2 linked regions of the Oreochromis niloticus genome follow. The main gene of each other region encodes a partner of the protein of the gene in region 2 in a complex. Links are inferred from orthologs where the notes say so. Each region holds a gene or a part of one and is shown on either strand. Other genes may lie near its edges.

Evidence for each region. Proteins that work in one complex are often made in the same cells at the same time.
Region 1: immt (region 2) and micos13 share a complex: the UniProt entries of both Homo sapiens proteins name them as parts of the mitochondrial contact site and cristae organizing system (MICOS) complex. The link is inferred for Oreochromis niloticus from reciprocal best matches to the Homo sapiens genes IMMT and MICOS13.

The regions. Positions count from the first base shown.
Region 1 is NC_031986.2:33,823,020-33,830,518, forward strand, and holds the start of micos13 (MICOS complex subunit MIC13), read right to left. Parts: upstream 3,061-7,499; 5' UTR 2,916-3,060; coding exon 2,887-2,915; intron 2,497-2,886; coding exon 2,340-2,496; intron 1,200-2,339; coding exon 1,142-1,199; intron 893-1,141; coding exon 795-892; 3' UTR 1-794. Other genes in the region: hydroxysteroid 11-beta-dehydrogenase 1-like protein, read left to right, coding at 3,404-3,488, 6,429-6,559, 6,709-6,912, 6,990-7,083. UniProt on the Homo sapiens protein: Component of the MICOS complex, a large protein complex of the mitochondrial inner membrane that plays crucial roles in the maintenance of crista junctions, inner membrane architecture, and formation of contact sites to the outer membrane.
Region 2 is NC_031966.2:2,141,329-2,148,639, forward strand, and holds the start of immt (MICOS complex subunit MIC60), read right to left. Parts: upstream 3,075-7,311; 5' UTR 2,941-3,074; coding exon 2,899-2,940; intron 1,230-2,898; coding exon 1,162-1,229; intron 804-1,161; coding exon 614-803; intron 226-613; coding exon 99-225; intron 1-98. Other genes in the region: slbp (histone RNA hairpin-binding protein), read right to left, coding at 4,054-4,113, 4,562-4,670, 4,751-4,906, 5,014-5,136, 5,869-5,940, 6,047-6,160, 6,689-6,832. UniProt on the Homo sapiens protein: Component of the MICOS complex, a large protein complex of the mitochondrial inner membrane that plays crucial roles in the maintenance of crista junctions, inner membrane architecture, and formation of contact sites to the outer membrane.

The DNA of each region.
Region 1 (7,499 bases), on a different chromosome or scaffold from region 2:
CCTCAAGGTTTAGAAACTTTATTTGGATGTGAAGAAGTGACAACACGTGGCAGAATGGGTAATGTTTTCTTACATTTAAATAAAAGAAAAGGATGACACTAAACATCACCGCTCGCGGTGCTGTGGAGTGTGTCTGCATCGTGTACAGTGGAGTCAACCGATCATAAATGGCTGCGTGTGCTCTTCCTCACGCTTTCAGTCATCTCCCCCTCTTTTCAAGTTGTAGCAGAATCAGCAGTAAACTGTGTCATTATTATTGTCATGATTAATAAAGATTTTTGCACATTTGTATGGTCTTTTTGTCGACCGAGCACTTTATGTTATATGACTTGATAGATCAAACTAAAGATGAGACAAAATCTTTTAAGATTGATATATTGCTCACAAATAGTGAAATTGCATATATATATATATATATATATACACACACATACAGATATTCTTAACATTTTTTGGGCAAGGTGAGGGCAGAATAACACTCTCTACTGGACAGTGCTGATAGCAACTATTTGGTATACACAATTTTGAGGTATACACAAAATGAAAGATTGCCTTCTTAAAAATAAAATTTTCTTCCCATTATGTACATCTCCCACCAAAGGCCACTATCAGTTAGAAAACCACAGTACCCATTCAGCAGAGTACACTCCTTGCTTTTAATCTTTTAATCAAGCAGTTTTCTTTGACGTTGTGTGTTGCTTCATTCTTATGGCAGGGTTCAACATTTGAAGAAGTAATGTCAAGTGCAAAAGTCAAAAGGACTGATAATGTGAGGCTGCCCAGAGAGTTCATGTTCACTTTGTGAGGTCCTTCAAGTACTGCAGCCCCTGACTTGTGTATTCAGTGGCTTTTGTCGGGGCCTCAGAGAGATTTGAAATCGTCCACCGTACGCCTGCAACAAAAGAAAAAAGAGAAGTTTGGGTTTTAGATACTGAAAAATCAGGGTCAATATAGGGTCTAGACCAAAAGTAATACCAATACCAAAATTATTTTAAAACAAACTACTGCCTCCAAACAATTTTAAAACTATTACTGCATGTAACAAGTGAAATACACAACAGAAAGTCTGTGCAAAACTTGTGACCACAGTAAATTTTTACCCTTGCTTTTTTAAAAAAGGAACAAATAATTGAATTCTTACCAGAATTCCACGCGTCCACAGGAGAGAACTCAATCTTAGGTATGGTTGGAAGCTGAGCCTGACAAGAGGGATAAGGTGCATTAGTTTGCATTAGTGTTTATTATAACTGGACAATACAACTACTATTCTGTCCAGTGCAAAACAGTAATAAAAAAATAAATGCATAAATAAACAAATCAGGTTTTAAAATAAAATCATGAGGAGGAGACACATTTGTACATTGTTTCAAGTGAAAACTTGCTTGTTGGAGTTCGTGAATAAAATCATAAGTAAGAAATGGATAAATACTCTTGCTTCTTTTCTTTGTTTTGTTTGTTTGTTTTTTTTAATCACTTGAACTGATTTGTCAGCAAGAACTAGGACCTGTACTATGAAGCAATTTCAGCATTTCCTGGATATCTTTCCATTATCTGACTTCAATTAAAATAACACTGAGAACCATGATGAGCAGAATTACAAAGGTGTTTATCGACTAAGCCAAGCCAGAGTTAAAAAAATCTAGCTGTGAGTGTATTCAGCAAGATGTTGGCAGCAGTCGACCAGTCAGAAACATGGGTGGATCTTACAAAGCTACAACTATGATATCTGAAAAATTTGAAAAGATTAAATAATACAGGCATATAGCAACAGCAGTGTTGAAGCTAAAGGAGTGGTGTGAGTGTGTGTGGGAAGAAACGGACAGTCCAGTAGTATTAAAAGTGCTGTATGAGCATGAGCACTTTAAGCACTTTGGTCAGTAATGCTGGAAAAGATATTTACTTTAATAAAGTCTTAGTCTTAAATCTGGTGAGTCTCAGTTACCAGACTTAAGACACAGGAGAATCTGAAGAATTGTTAGAATTGCTATTGACTATATTTTCAACCTGATGAGCTCTAACCCAGACCACAACCTGCTCCAGAGCTAGTTAGGTCTGCAGCATACATTACCACGAATCAAAGTACATGCCTCACAAAGGTTTATGATGTCATGATTGTACTGTAACTATGTATTCATTAGAGCGTTTCTGATCTCATAAGAGAAAGGCTAGAAAGCAAAAAGAAATTTCTACACATTTATGGTATGAGTCATCAAATTTGCTGTCTGCAGCACTGATCTATTTAATGCAATGACTTTTTAAAACCATTTTACTTTATGTTGTATTAGGCCTAGTGGCACTGATCCAGGAAGACCTAGTTGTTTATGACGTGCATCTTGTACCTCCACACCAAAGTACTTCATCCATTCCTCCATGGCGGGTGGGATTACTGCTTTGGCCTTCTGCAGAGCCTCTGAGCCCTGTTCACTGTTCCCCAAGAGACCAGAGTCATAGGCAACATAGACAGCTCCTCCTGCAATGGTCACCTTGGTGGCCAGTCTGGAAATGAAAGAACAGATGCAGTAATGCAGTTAATCTGAAATACCCCAATTTCCCAACAGGGCAAACTGAAACTACAGACACACGTAGTTATTATCAAAGTAAACAACAAATTATTCTTTGATGCTAAGTTATCAGTTAATAGTTGGGAAATTTACAACTGCCCACATTAACTCACGTTATTGCAGAAAGTTAGTATATCAGCCCAACGTTAAACTCCATAAAGAAAAGCATATTTTAAGTCTTAATATTGGAGCTAAAACGAAAACAACTGAAAATGACCTGGTATGACTGACAGCTAGCTTAGCCTAAGTTAGCTTAATTATCAATAAGAGCATTTAGACAAGTGATAGTATACGAAACCGCGGGAGTTGAAATAAAAATACTAACTTCATAACAGGCCAAATCCTCGTCGCCATCGTTCAGCGCGGTCTATTCTCCTTTAAGAAGCTGTTATTGCGAGAACTCCGACAATGAGCCGTAGATCAGGCTAGCTGGTTAGCTTCACTGAAGGACAACCCTGCTTGATGATCCGTGTGCACCAGTGTTGTGTAAATAAAGTTGCTGTTTCAAAAGTCAGGGCGGATGTAATTTCGGAGGCGCAGATTCGTCAGCCTTGATTTTTTAAACTATAAATTTATAGGCAAATAAATTAAAGATTTTGGGGCTTTGGTAAATTAAAAAAATATATAGATTTTTTAAAAGCATTAAAGTAACAAAAAAAATGATTTGTGTCCATGAAAAAGGGCAGGCCAGTCTGACCAACCCCCGCCCCTTACAAAGTGGAAGGAGGGGAGAAATAGTGGGTTGCATAAAATGCACTTTGTTTTCTCAAACTGGGATTGTGAAAGTTGGCAGAAACTTCTAAAGCTTAGCATTTTCGCTCAGCTGCTACCAAATTGTCATAATGGGCGCTGTCACAAAAGTTCTTTTAGCTAGTATATGTGTTGCTTTCCTGGCTGCCAAATGGACTTCACCCAGATTTGATGCCGGTAAACTCTGTTCTTTGTCATTGTGAGAAAGTACTTGCTTGTTTTTAGTTGCAAACTTGCAGCAGGCATGCAGGTTTGTCCAGCAGACAATAATGTGATAGGTGTTGGGCCTACAGTGGTCCAAACATATGCGTGGTATGCATTTGCAATGTATTAGGTAAATACAGCTAAATAGAGTCACACTTTTTTACTTAACTTAAAAATGAAGGTTTCACATGAAAAAGGGAAGACTCATGTGCAGGAATCCTAGCTAGCCTACTCGGTTATGTCGTAGTTATAACTTAGTATCTGGTAACACCTCATTATTATAGTCATATAGTCATTGTTTGTTATACATATGAAGTCTGTTTTTAATAGACATCTATCACATGTGCAGTCAACCCCGAAACTGATGTTTTTTAATATTTGATTTAATTTTTGAAGCTCAAAAGCACCCGGGCCAGTAACTTATATGAGGCTTTATGGCCAGGCGTAGCCAGATTAAGGAGATAAAAGGTCTGAAGTTGAGTCCAAGAAATCAATTTGCATGTTCAATATGGGTTTCGAAGAATTAATGATGGAATCAAAGGCTGAAAAAGCAAAAACATGAGCTATAAACCCAGAAACCACAGGAATGTTTAAATTACCAGTTACATTCTTGAAAAAAACAATGTACAGAAGGCCCGGAAAACAACAAAAACAACAGCAGATATCAGAATTCTGAGTAAAAATGCCAGGTCAGACTTTGCTATTAAAAAAAGGATACATAAAATCTGAAAAAATTAAGCCAACAATTTATATTAGAAAAAAAAAGGTTTGTGATCTAATACATGCCACATTGTTAACAAATAAAAGGCAGTTTTATGGTGTGGGTGGGTATTACTGCCAACTTGGAAAGGTAATAGTAACAATTTAATGATTTGTTAAAGAAAATTAGTAGAAACAGCACAAAGTGAGCGAGTAATTGATGATATTCTGCTCTCCGCTTGTGACCAAGGCCTTACCAAAGAGAGAATCCTGCATTTATTCACATTTTGAGAACACACTGTAGAGTCAATTTTCCACAAGCAATGAAATTATGCGGTCCATGTCAGTGGACTAGTGTTATGTATACTTGCATATCCCATGTGCTCTACTCTGCAACACTGTAACCTTATGAAATACCACATTTTTTAAATGCCTATATTTCACAAATGTACGACAGCGCAGGACGATTTGTTTCAGATGCCTTGTGTTTGCTTTGGTTAGTAATAAAATGCAGTTTGAATGGCTGCTTCATGAACCCTAACCCTTCATGGGAATAAGAAGTGGAATAAGAGAGAGAGGGAGAGCATGCAGTTGATTGCACATTTAGCTAAACCTTTGAGAGGAAAAGGGTACTGACATATGGCTCCATTCTCCAGCATGGGGAGTGAAAATTTTTAAACCTGCAGGATATTTAAATGTTCATAGCACCAGGCAAAGAATTAAAGCAACAAACGAGTGATATGGGACCTTCAAAAACAAAATACAGCATGGAAATTCTGGTGAAATAAATAAATAAACACAATATCCAAGCATTTTACTAGTCCAAATGAAGAGTATGCATTTTGCAATTTCTCAAGATGGAAAAGTTTCAAATGCCCTTTGACCTGAAGCAATATATGGAGGATAAAGCTGGGCGATAGAACGATAACGATATGTATTGCGAAATAACTTTTTCTCGATAGAAAAAATAAACTATTGCGATAGGCCTCATCTCTCTTGTCCTCTTAAAAAAAAAAAAAAGAACAGCCAATCCAAATTAAGTAGCGCAGAGCCGAACCAATCACAGCTGCAGCGTCACGTCACGTGACTTGATACGTACAGCACAAGTGCCAAGGCTCACATGTATATTTGTTTTTGCAGCCGGGCTGCCCAGGTAATGAAGGAAATGAGTTTGCTGACTAGAGAAAAATCAACCGAGAGCGTGAGCGAAGGTTACCGAAGAAAAAACAGATGATGGTTCCAATACCGGAGAGATTGTCGAACGGAAGGGCCACAGAAGTTCCGTAGTGTGAAGGTATTTCGGCTATTTCAAGTCTGACAAAAAACAGAGTAGCACGCACTGTAAATTGTGCCGAAAGCAAGTCTGGAAATACAATAAAGCGGTGCATGCTCAATCTCTGACTGAAAGCGCTAATTCGTCATTCGGCTTTTGTCAGACTAAAGTAACTGTTAAAACTGTTTGAAAAGCTAAGCTATACAACAAGGAGAGATTGAGAATTTCCTTTTAGTTCTCAGTTTATTTGATATTGACAAAAGTTAGTAAATTTTGTCTGTTCGTCTGTAAAACAAACTAAGATTTATTTTTAGAATTAATATTTTGTTTCTAAGTGGAACTGACAATTTAGTAGTCTGTTTTGTTTGTTCTATTTTGAAACTTAAACGCTTTAGCGGCTGCCTTTTGTGTAGTTTGTAATATTTGCCTTTATTTATCTGAAACTGAAGTCTCATGTTCCTTAAGTACATCTACCCTGTTGAACTTATTATGGGAAATAAATATTTAAATCAAAACAAGCTGGTGATTATTTCACATTTTACTTGTGAGCAACGGCACATTTAAATCTTACAAATATAGTTATTTGGCTTATATTGTGATATATATCGTTATCGCCTGAAATGAAAAAACATATCGTGATATGAAAAAATCTTATATCGCCCAGCTCTAATGGAGGACTAAGATTAGCTTATCTTTTTAGGGTATATATCTGCCTAAAGAATGATTCTAGATAAACTAAACTATTTCATTGTCATCAAGTTCACTTAAAAACCTTTTCTGCATGCTTAGACACATTAACAATGTATGCAGTAGTTACTGTGGTCATTTACTCTATTTATTGTTGACTAATAGAAATAACACATATTTTTATTGTTTCTATAAACCTTTCATGTATTAAAACAATTCCATTCCATGTTGAATACGGTAAAACTTTGTTTCAGATTCTCTCAAAGGGGCTAGGGTACTGGTGACTGGGGCCAGTACAGGTATTGGTGAACAAATGGCGTATCATTACGCCCGCTTTGGAGCCCAAATTGTTATCACAGCAAGGAGGGAGAAAGTCTTACAGCAGGTCAGTTTACGTAATAACAGGTTATTGGTTGAAATTCTGCTCATAGATTGCCATTTACTTCTGTTGTTTTGTGCCAGTCATGAATAGAGACATTCTTTAGTTCTTTCATAAAACTAACCAAGTGCATTTTTAATGATTTTGGCCTGTAGGTAGTAGAAAAGTGTCTGAGCTTAGGAGCCCAGAAAGCTTTTTATATAGCAGCAGACATGGCGAATGAGTCTGACCCTGACAAAGTGGTGGATTATGCTCTGGAGAAGCTGGGAGGTTTGGATTACCTGGTCCTCAATCACATTGGGCCTAGCCCCTTCAGCATGTGGAAGGGAGATGTGGATCACACCAAATGGCTGATGAAGGTAACAGAGCATTTTGATGGTCATTCAAAACAGGAAATGGAGAGACTATGCTGATTCATGAATGTTTGTTTGTGAAGGTCAATTTCTTCAGCTATATTCAGATGGCCTGGAAAGCTTTGCCCTCCCTTGAGCAAAATAAAGGATCACTGGTTGTTGTCTCATCGCTCTTAGGTAGGTTTGTTTTTATACTTCTTCAGCATTTTTATACTTTATGCTTTTTTATGCAGATGATGACAAACTATAAAATACAAATTGTATGTGTGCACATATATACCTCCTAATACTTTCACCCACCAATTACAATTAAATTGACATTTTTTTAAAGACACTTTCTACTGCAACTGATAAATAAGTGATGGTAATACAGTAATTAAGATTAACTTAATGTATTATGATGACAAGAGTTGATAACCCACTCTGGAGCTTGTTTGTGTGCACCAGGTGGCTGGGCCATAAGTTCTTGTGAGCTCAACTAAAACAAGCCCAAAATGGTCTTGTACCATGGGTCAACTACCTGCAGGAGAATCTGTAGAGGGAAAGTGTTTTCTGGATTGGGCGCCAGTCAAAGTCAGAAGTACTGATTGTCC
Region 2 (7,311 bases):
ACAAAACAGAAATAGAAATAAAGCTGAAAAAGCACACGATAAAAGGCAGATGGTAACATGAAGCCACGAGTTATAATGACAGTGGGTGCCACACTTACCCTCTATGCTCTGTGCAGGCTTACTGGGGACGGGGCTGGAGTCTTTGACTGGACCCTCGGCTCCCTCCTTCTTCGCCGACTTCTTCACTTGTTTTTCTATCATAGAGGGCGGCTGGGCCAACTCCACCTTAACAGCAACCATTTAAATCAAAGCATACATTATTACAGTGTGGTTGTAGAAATATTTTTACTCTTTCTATACAAATATTTATATTGTATTGTATGGAAGTTTATTTGCTGATATCTTCAATTCTGAGTCAAATTTTAACAGACACACACTGGAAAGGTGGAGGTATGGAGGTGGAGGTATGGAGGTGGAGGTATGGGGGCTTCAACGCAGTCTGATCAGCCATTTTAACATACAGTAAACCATCAGAGAACAGATAGTTGCTCACAAATGGAGAGTCGGTAAAAGAAAAAAATGTTAGATTGTTCTTCCACTACCTGATGGTGAAATACAAACAAACTTTGTGTCCTGTAACTATAATTAGGATGAGCTGGGGACAGCACCGTACCCGTTTCTTTATGGGGAGGCCAGGATCTTGGGCAGGGGGTCCCAAAGCCAAACCCAGCAGCCAGTCTGAGTATGGGACGTTCTTCTCAACCGCTGCTCTGAACTTGTGGTCCCATTTGGCATAGAGTATGGTCCCTCCAATGCCACCACTTACTGTCAACAAGCCAGCAACAACCACTTTGGAAGCACTACTGGAATGAAAAAGGACAAGCAGACATGAATGAATGCCACAGGACAGTCTCGCTAACGGCCTTTGAGACGGGACGCAGCATTCTGTGTGTATCCTAGTTCAGCTGACTTTATGACACAACTTTAGGCCCAAATAGTGACCTCAGGAGGAAAACAATGTTGTAGAAATGACACACTGCTACGGATACCGCTAAAGATCTTCTCTTGAGGATGAGAGATCCACGTTTTGAAATGACGTGGAGCCAGAGCGCAGGGACCAGCGGGACACAGATTTGGTGGTCAGCACAGCACATGTCACATCTATGTGAGAAGCCCTTAAGAAGACAGTTGAATACTGTACTGTGTGTGTTGGTGTGTTACCTGCTCTCTCCTGCTGTGTAGTGCCGACACTGCTGCAGACTGGTAAGAGGGATTCTCCTGTAGTTCTTCTGGAAAGTGGTGAGGAAAGCGTGACAGTGAAAAGAAATCCATGTCAGACAGATCCAGAACGGACACACATTTATAGCAAGGACACCTTAGAGCAACAAATTCCAGTGCAAGCAACAAACTACCCAATGTTTTCCTTATCATTCCTTATTATCCTTGGATAAAAGGGTTGGGGAATTAGGTGCAGAGATGCGGTTCAAAAGGTAAAAACAGACTTTGTGCAACTCTAACAAGCCTGAAAATCAGTACTTTGTCTGAACACCTTTACTCTTCAAAACAGCCTGAACACTCTGAGCCATGTTTTCTTGTAATTACATTAAATAGTTTTCAGAAACAGAGGTTTCATCCTCTGTCAAGACGATGCCACACTGCTTGGATGGACACGGGTTAGTTTCAGAACAGCTTCATCAATTACATTTTTCAGTGGGAAGGTGGCAGTCAAGAAACAGACAGGGGTGTGGACTGAAACAGCGCAGAGCGCAGTCCTAGGAACAGCTAAGATACTGCGCAGGACCATCAAGCTATCAGGCCTCTGGCAGAGGAGCCGAGCTTGAAGGATAGACGCCTGCGGTGAGGGGGGGGGGTGTCGAGACTTTTGCGCAGTACTATACTGACAGGTCGGTCGTCAACATGTCGATGACAACCAGGTAATCAGCATTTGATGATTTCAGTTTTAAATTTCATGATATTCTTGTGACACACGAGCTTGCCCATTTAACTATAGCATAAGAAAAAAATCCAGTAAGTAATAAGCTCAGCGCGGTTTTTCATTTGCTGTTAAATCATAAAAATACATAAATTATCGTGATGAAATCAAAACAAAAATAAGCACAGAACTGTTGACTTACCATTTAAAACAGATCAGCAAATGAAGTACAAAGCATGATTTCTGAGCAGTAAACTGAACTCTTATTTTGTAAATACAGATTCAGGTGCATGGCAAACAAATCCAAGGTGAGTCCGGCAGAAACGAATATGTTACTGTGCGTTTAGTCAGGTGAAAAGAGCCGAGGTTCCCTCGTAATAAAACATCTGTGCAACAGTGTGACGCTGCAGACCAGAGATGTCAAACTTATTCCAGTCCACTTTAACAGGTGACAGCCACCTTTCTGTCACTGTACAGAAGTCTAGCTGCACATTCAATCCCAGAAATAGAACAAAGTTTTCGAGAATCCACATCATGCGTTAGTATTTGGGGATTTTACGAAGACAACCTGCAGCGTTTATTTATTCATTATAAAGTCTACGTGAAAACGCGTTTTTAAATGCTAGTGCCGCTAGTAGCATTTTAAAATACTGCTCCGGTTAGCTGTTATCAAACCTGTGGCCGATAAAAGGTCAAACAGAATGAACAGACAAGTTTTGGTTTTTGCCATGATGACCTCTCCGCTCAAACTTAGCCAAACTCGTTAGCTTGGTTATGGTTAAAACGCCATTATCCATCTGTCACCGGAAGAAAACCGGCTAACATTAGCATGCTGCGCTGATCTCTTTGACAGCTTCCACAACCAACTGCATTGCTTCAAATACAGCGCTCGACAGCACCGAAGAGTTAACAGCCCGAATTAGTCTACGACAAAATTGACTGTGGCACCTTGAGGCAGGCTCTGGGTCACTGAATGACAACACGCTAACGTTAGCCCGCGGCTGGGGAGCAGACAGAAGGCTTACCCGGGCGGTAGCATTAGCCCCTCTCAGACACGCTCTCAGCATGGTCTTCTCCTACTTTGGTTTCTGAGTTCGTAAATAAATCGACCTGCACAGAAACAGATTATTTCTTTGCTGCTCTTCTTCGTCTTTTCGCGCACCCTTCTTCTCCTCAGTACTTTGCGTGGATTAAACGTTTGCGTGCACAACAGCGCCCCCTTATGATGTTGCTAAATTACATTCGCGTCATTCTTCCATCTGACGTAAGTCAGACAGATGATCCTTATTCTTCCCAGCTCTCCTAAACTAAGCTAAACAGATTCTCACCAGTGACGGGCAGTTCTGGTTATCTATACTCTCAAGCACACAACACTGGTTTATGTGTGAGTTCATACAGTATTCAACACATTTTCCATTAATTACTACATCAGCTGTGTGAAGTGTGTCAGAGAGAAACTCTGGTTTCAAAGTCACTGTTTAAATCTGTGGCATGCTGTCCAACGGTGGACCAAGTTTTCAGCAGTTTTTAGCCAAAAATCACAAAAAAAGAAGAAATATTGATTTTTCTTGTTTGTTTTATTTGTTTTTTTTATTTCAAGTTCTATTAAAGATACAGCAGTAAGAAACAATTACATTTGTATTAAAACAAAACAAAACAGAACAGAACAGAAAACAAAAAGCCACAGCCCAATATTTCTCAAGGATAACTCAAAACAACACACATCATTGTCTCCGATTTTCCCACGTCCTTTAAACTATTAAGACGACCCCTCCGAGTTCAGACAGTTTCTATGCATCTGGAATCTTCTCAGGTAGAATATGAGAGATGTAAGCTCACATTTGCACGAAACTAGATGCACACTCCAACAGGCCTCTCACTGGTACAGCAAGTGGGGGTTTTTACATACCAAATTCTGAAACATGCTTGATTAAAAATGTAAAATCTTGCCATAAAATACTCTGAACAGATAAACTACAACAAATGGCCCAAACTGTGGATGGAGAAACATATGGTGAAAACAAAACTCAATATTAAAGTATAATCAATGACTACCAGCCAAAGACACAGCAGAGTGATGCTGTGTCCACACAGACTCTTAGCTGACAGCTGGAGCAGTTTTTCTGAGTGGACTGTGTGAAGTCGATGTCGGGGGGAAGACTCAACCATTCAATAACAAGCTATGACATATTAGGCTCTGCTGTCCTTTGTACTTTGACCGGAGTACCGCAGTCTTCATCCTGAGCAACACAACACAAACAACATCATTTAATACAGTGTTTGTAAGGGTGGCTTTCTCATCTGTTGATTAAACTTTGCACAAAAAGTAAGGAGACCTGTGTTTCTTCCCATTGGACAGCCTGGTTGTTTCCCCTTAAATGGGCCACATTTGTAAAGAAAAAATCCATTCGTGGGTTAAACAGCAGAGTTGAGTAAAGAGAAAGCTGAGCAAACACGTTTCCTTTCTTTTTGTGCCAAGTTTATAAGCAATCCCACCATCATCATCTTTATTTTCTTAAAAACTGATGGATCATCTAAACAATGGACCAAATAAATATTTAAACCAAGGTTCCAGAAAGATTTAGTCAAAACCTCTTAAACAAACTCTACAATCGTTACTTGTCCGTCAGTCGTCAGCACGTGTGTGGGCCTCAACATTTCAGCAGCACCTAAATGACTTCCACTCACCTCCACTGACAGGCTGTGTATCGGCAGCGAGGTCTGGCTGTTCTGGGAGTCAGTAATGGTTGGGAAATCTAGTTCAATGTCCATTACATCATCAAGGTTGAGCTCCTCACTGGTGGGACAAGGAGAAATCATACATGAGGACGGCTTTCAGCTGACTGACGACGTGCAGAATGTGTACGAGTGTCTTACACGACATCGAGGGTCTTGTCCTGGCCTTCCTCTGCAGGGGGGTCCCAGGCATGTAGTTTGACCTTCCACAGTTTGATCTGCTGGTCCCAGGAGCGACGACTGTACTTCCTGAACTTATTGGGAGTTTTTGGATGAACGCCTGGCTGACGCATGTGTCTGAAAACAAGAAACGCGGGGATTAACGTTGACCAGTGTATTACACACACAAGCAGTGGACAGGCTTTACACTGGATGTTCCACAGCATGCGTTTCTGTTGACCTACTTAGGAACTTCTTTGATGTAGCGGTCGTAGGCCAGCGTGTTCTTGCCATAGTTGATCTGTTTCTGTCGTCGTAGTAACACAGCTTCATCGGTTTCCAAGTTATCTCCCTCTCTGGAGTCACAGCTGAAGCACAGACACATTTAGTCCACATTCACATGCACACAATACAAAAATAGAGGCACAACTAACATTCATCACGAAAAGAGCCCGACTTCCTTCATAATGATTTTATTCTAAAATGATTGTAAACACAAAGTTGTTGAAAAATGAAAAGGTTATTGTCATGTTAAACAAACCTGTGTTACTGTTTAATGGACAAAACTACATTAGTAATGAGTTCAAAGCCCATGACATGATATAATACAATGTAACTACGTAACAGTAACTATGTAACAGTAGTCTGGAGTGTGTTGAGATGTCAGTAAGACTAGAAAAGTTCTGACAAACCAAAACTGGATCAGTTCAGGATTTGGGGAAACAGCAGTTAAAGCCATATTTGACACGTCGTCGTGTTTCAGCCTCGCTGTCACAAGGACAGAAAACCCTCATCGTCTCATAGCAGATATGATATTTATCACATCATATTTTGATGCTGAGCACTTTACTTTTGTTACCATATAACTGAGCTCCATTAGTGCAATCTGTTTTACCTTACTCGCCACTTTGTTCAGTGATACTGCGTTGATTTTATTTCATGTTTCCATTATTTTGGGGATGAATACGTTTTGTCTCGTCTTATTTAATGTTAATAATTGCACACTTGTATAGCTGCAGGTGGATGTGTGGTTTGAGAAGTGAGTGTTCCATCAGTTCATGAATATTCTGAGTTGAAAGGTCTGTGAGAGAATGAGATACCTTCCAGAAGAGCCAGACGAGGCCCTTCTCTCCCTCTGGGTGAATTCTGCCCCCAGTATCCTCCTCCTGTAACTGAACACAGTGCAAACAGTGAGTCTGCAATCCAAAACAGGAAGCCAGTCTCTGCTTTCAGGTGCTTAAAAAGACAACTGAAATAATGTAGAAACTGTTTAATTACCGCTGCATGTCTCTGTGCACATCCCTCCTCATCTCATCGTCCTCCACCTGGCTGCCCCAGTCAGCCTGTTGACCACAGCGGGACACTGGACCTGTGCTCTCTGGAGTAGTAAAGCTAGGAGGACAATACCACAGGTTACACACACACAGGGATGTTACTGCTACAGTTCCTGCAGATGTTGTGGCCACATGTTGGTAATGGAGTCAGTAAGCTGTTTTTTTAAAGTGGTTCATGAGCAGAGACTGGCTGGCTTCACTCAGCAATAATGTAGTTTGATTTTTTTAAAACACTACCATTCAAACTAAAATCATTCTAATAATTTACCAAATATTACTTTACAACCACTGTGTTATTTATTTTAATTTAAAACAAACAAACAAACTTGTTTTTCTTCTCGAGCCTACACTGGAGTTTGGATGTGAACTACACAGACCAATGAAATTCTCACGCTGTTTACATTTGACAAAGCACCTTTGAACAGGGCCATTAAAGCTGTGTGGGTCTGAAACACTAAAACTGAAACATTTCCCCAACAAATGCCAAAAATCCACAAAGCTTCAGCCGCCTCATGGCTTTTCAGTTATGAGTTCCCTGCATTAATATACATTTATCACTTTCCACATTAACTGAGCTTACTCTCACCTAGCATGTCTGCGATCAGGGTGTTTGTAGCTGGAGTCGGCGTGTCCGTTCCTTCTTTTATCAATATCATCTGCCTCGCTGTTGCTCCGCAGGCTCCCATTGACGCCCCTCTTCCTGCAGTGGGACCACCGAGATGGGCCAAAGCTACACAAGAAGACACAAAAAAAACGTGTAGATTTAAACATGCCAATTCATTCTTGTTTTGATATCAGATTTCTGCAAACAATTCTCAAAAACATTCTCTTCTGTGTCAAATTAGGGAAAAAAAATCATGGCTGTTAAAAATGCAAAACCAGCAAATATGTGCAAGAACTGCAAACACACGGTGGGACGCACGGTCCCACACAGGAAAACACTCATGACGGTTTCACGTCTCCGTATTCCACAATGGCAAAGCTGCACTAACTGCTTCAAAATGCTCCGGGGATTTCTTTTGAACCTTCTTAGACAGATTAAAGTTTAGAGAAGGTGAATTTTATTTAATAATAAATGATTAGTTGAGTACAGTGGGTAAAACTGGAGCCATACATTTCCTTTAATAGACAATTTCTCCCGCCAACTTCTTCCGATTGTTCGGACCATCATCCATCTGTGACTCTTGTTTTTCCTGGAGGAGGGCACTT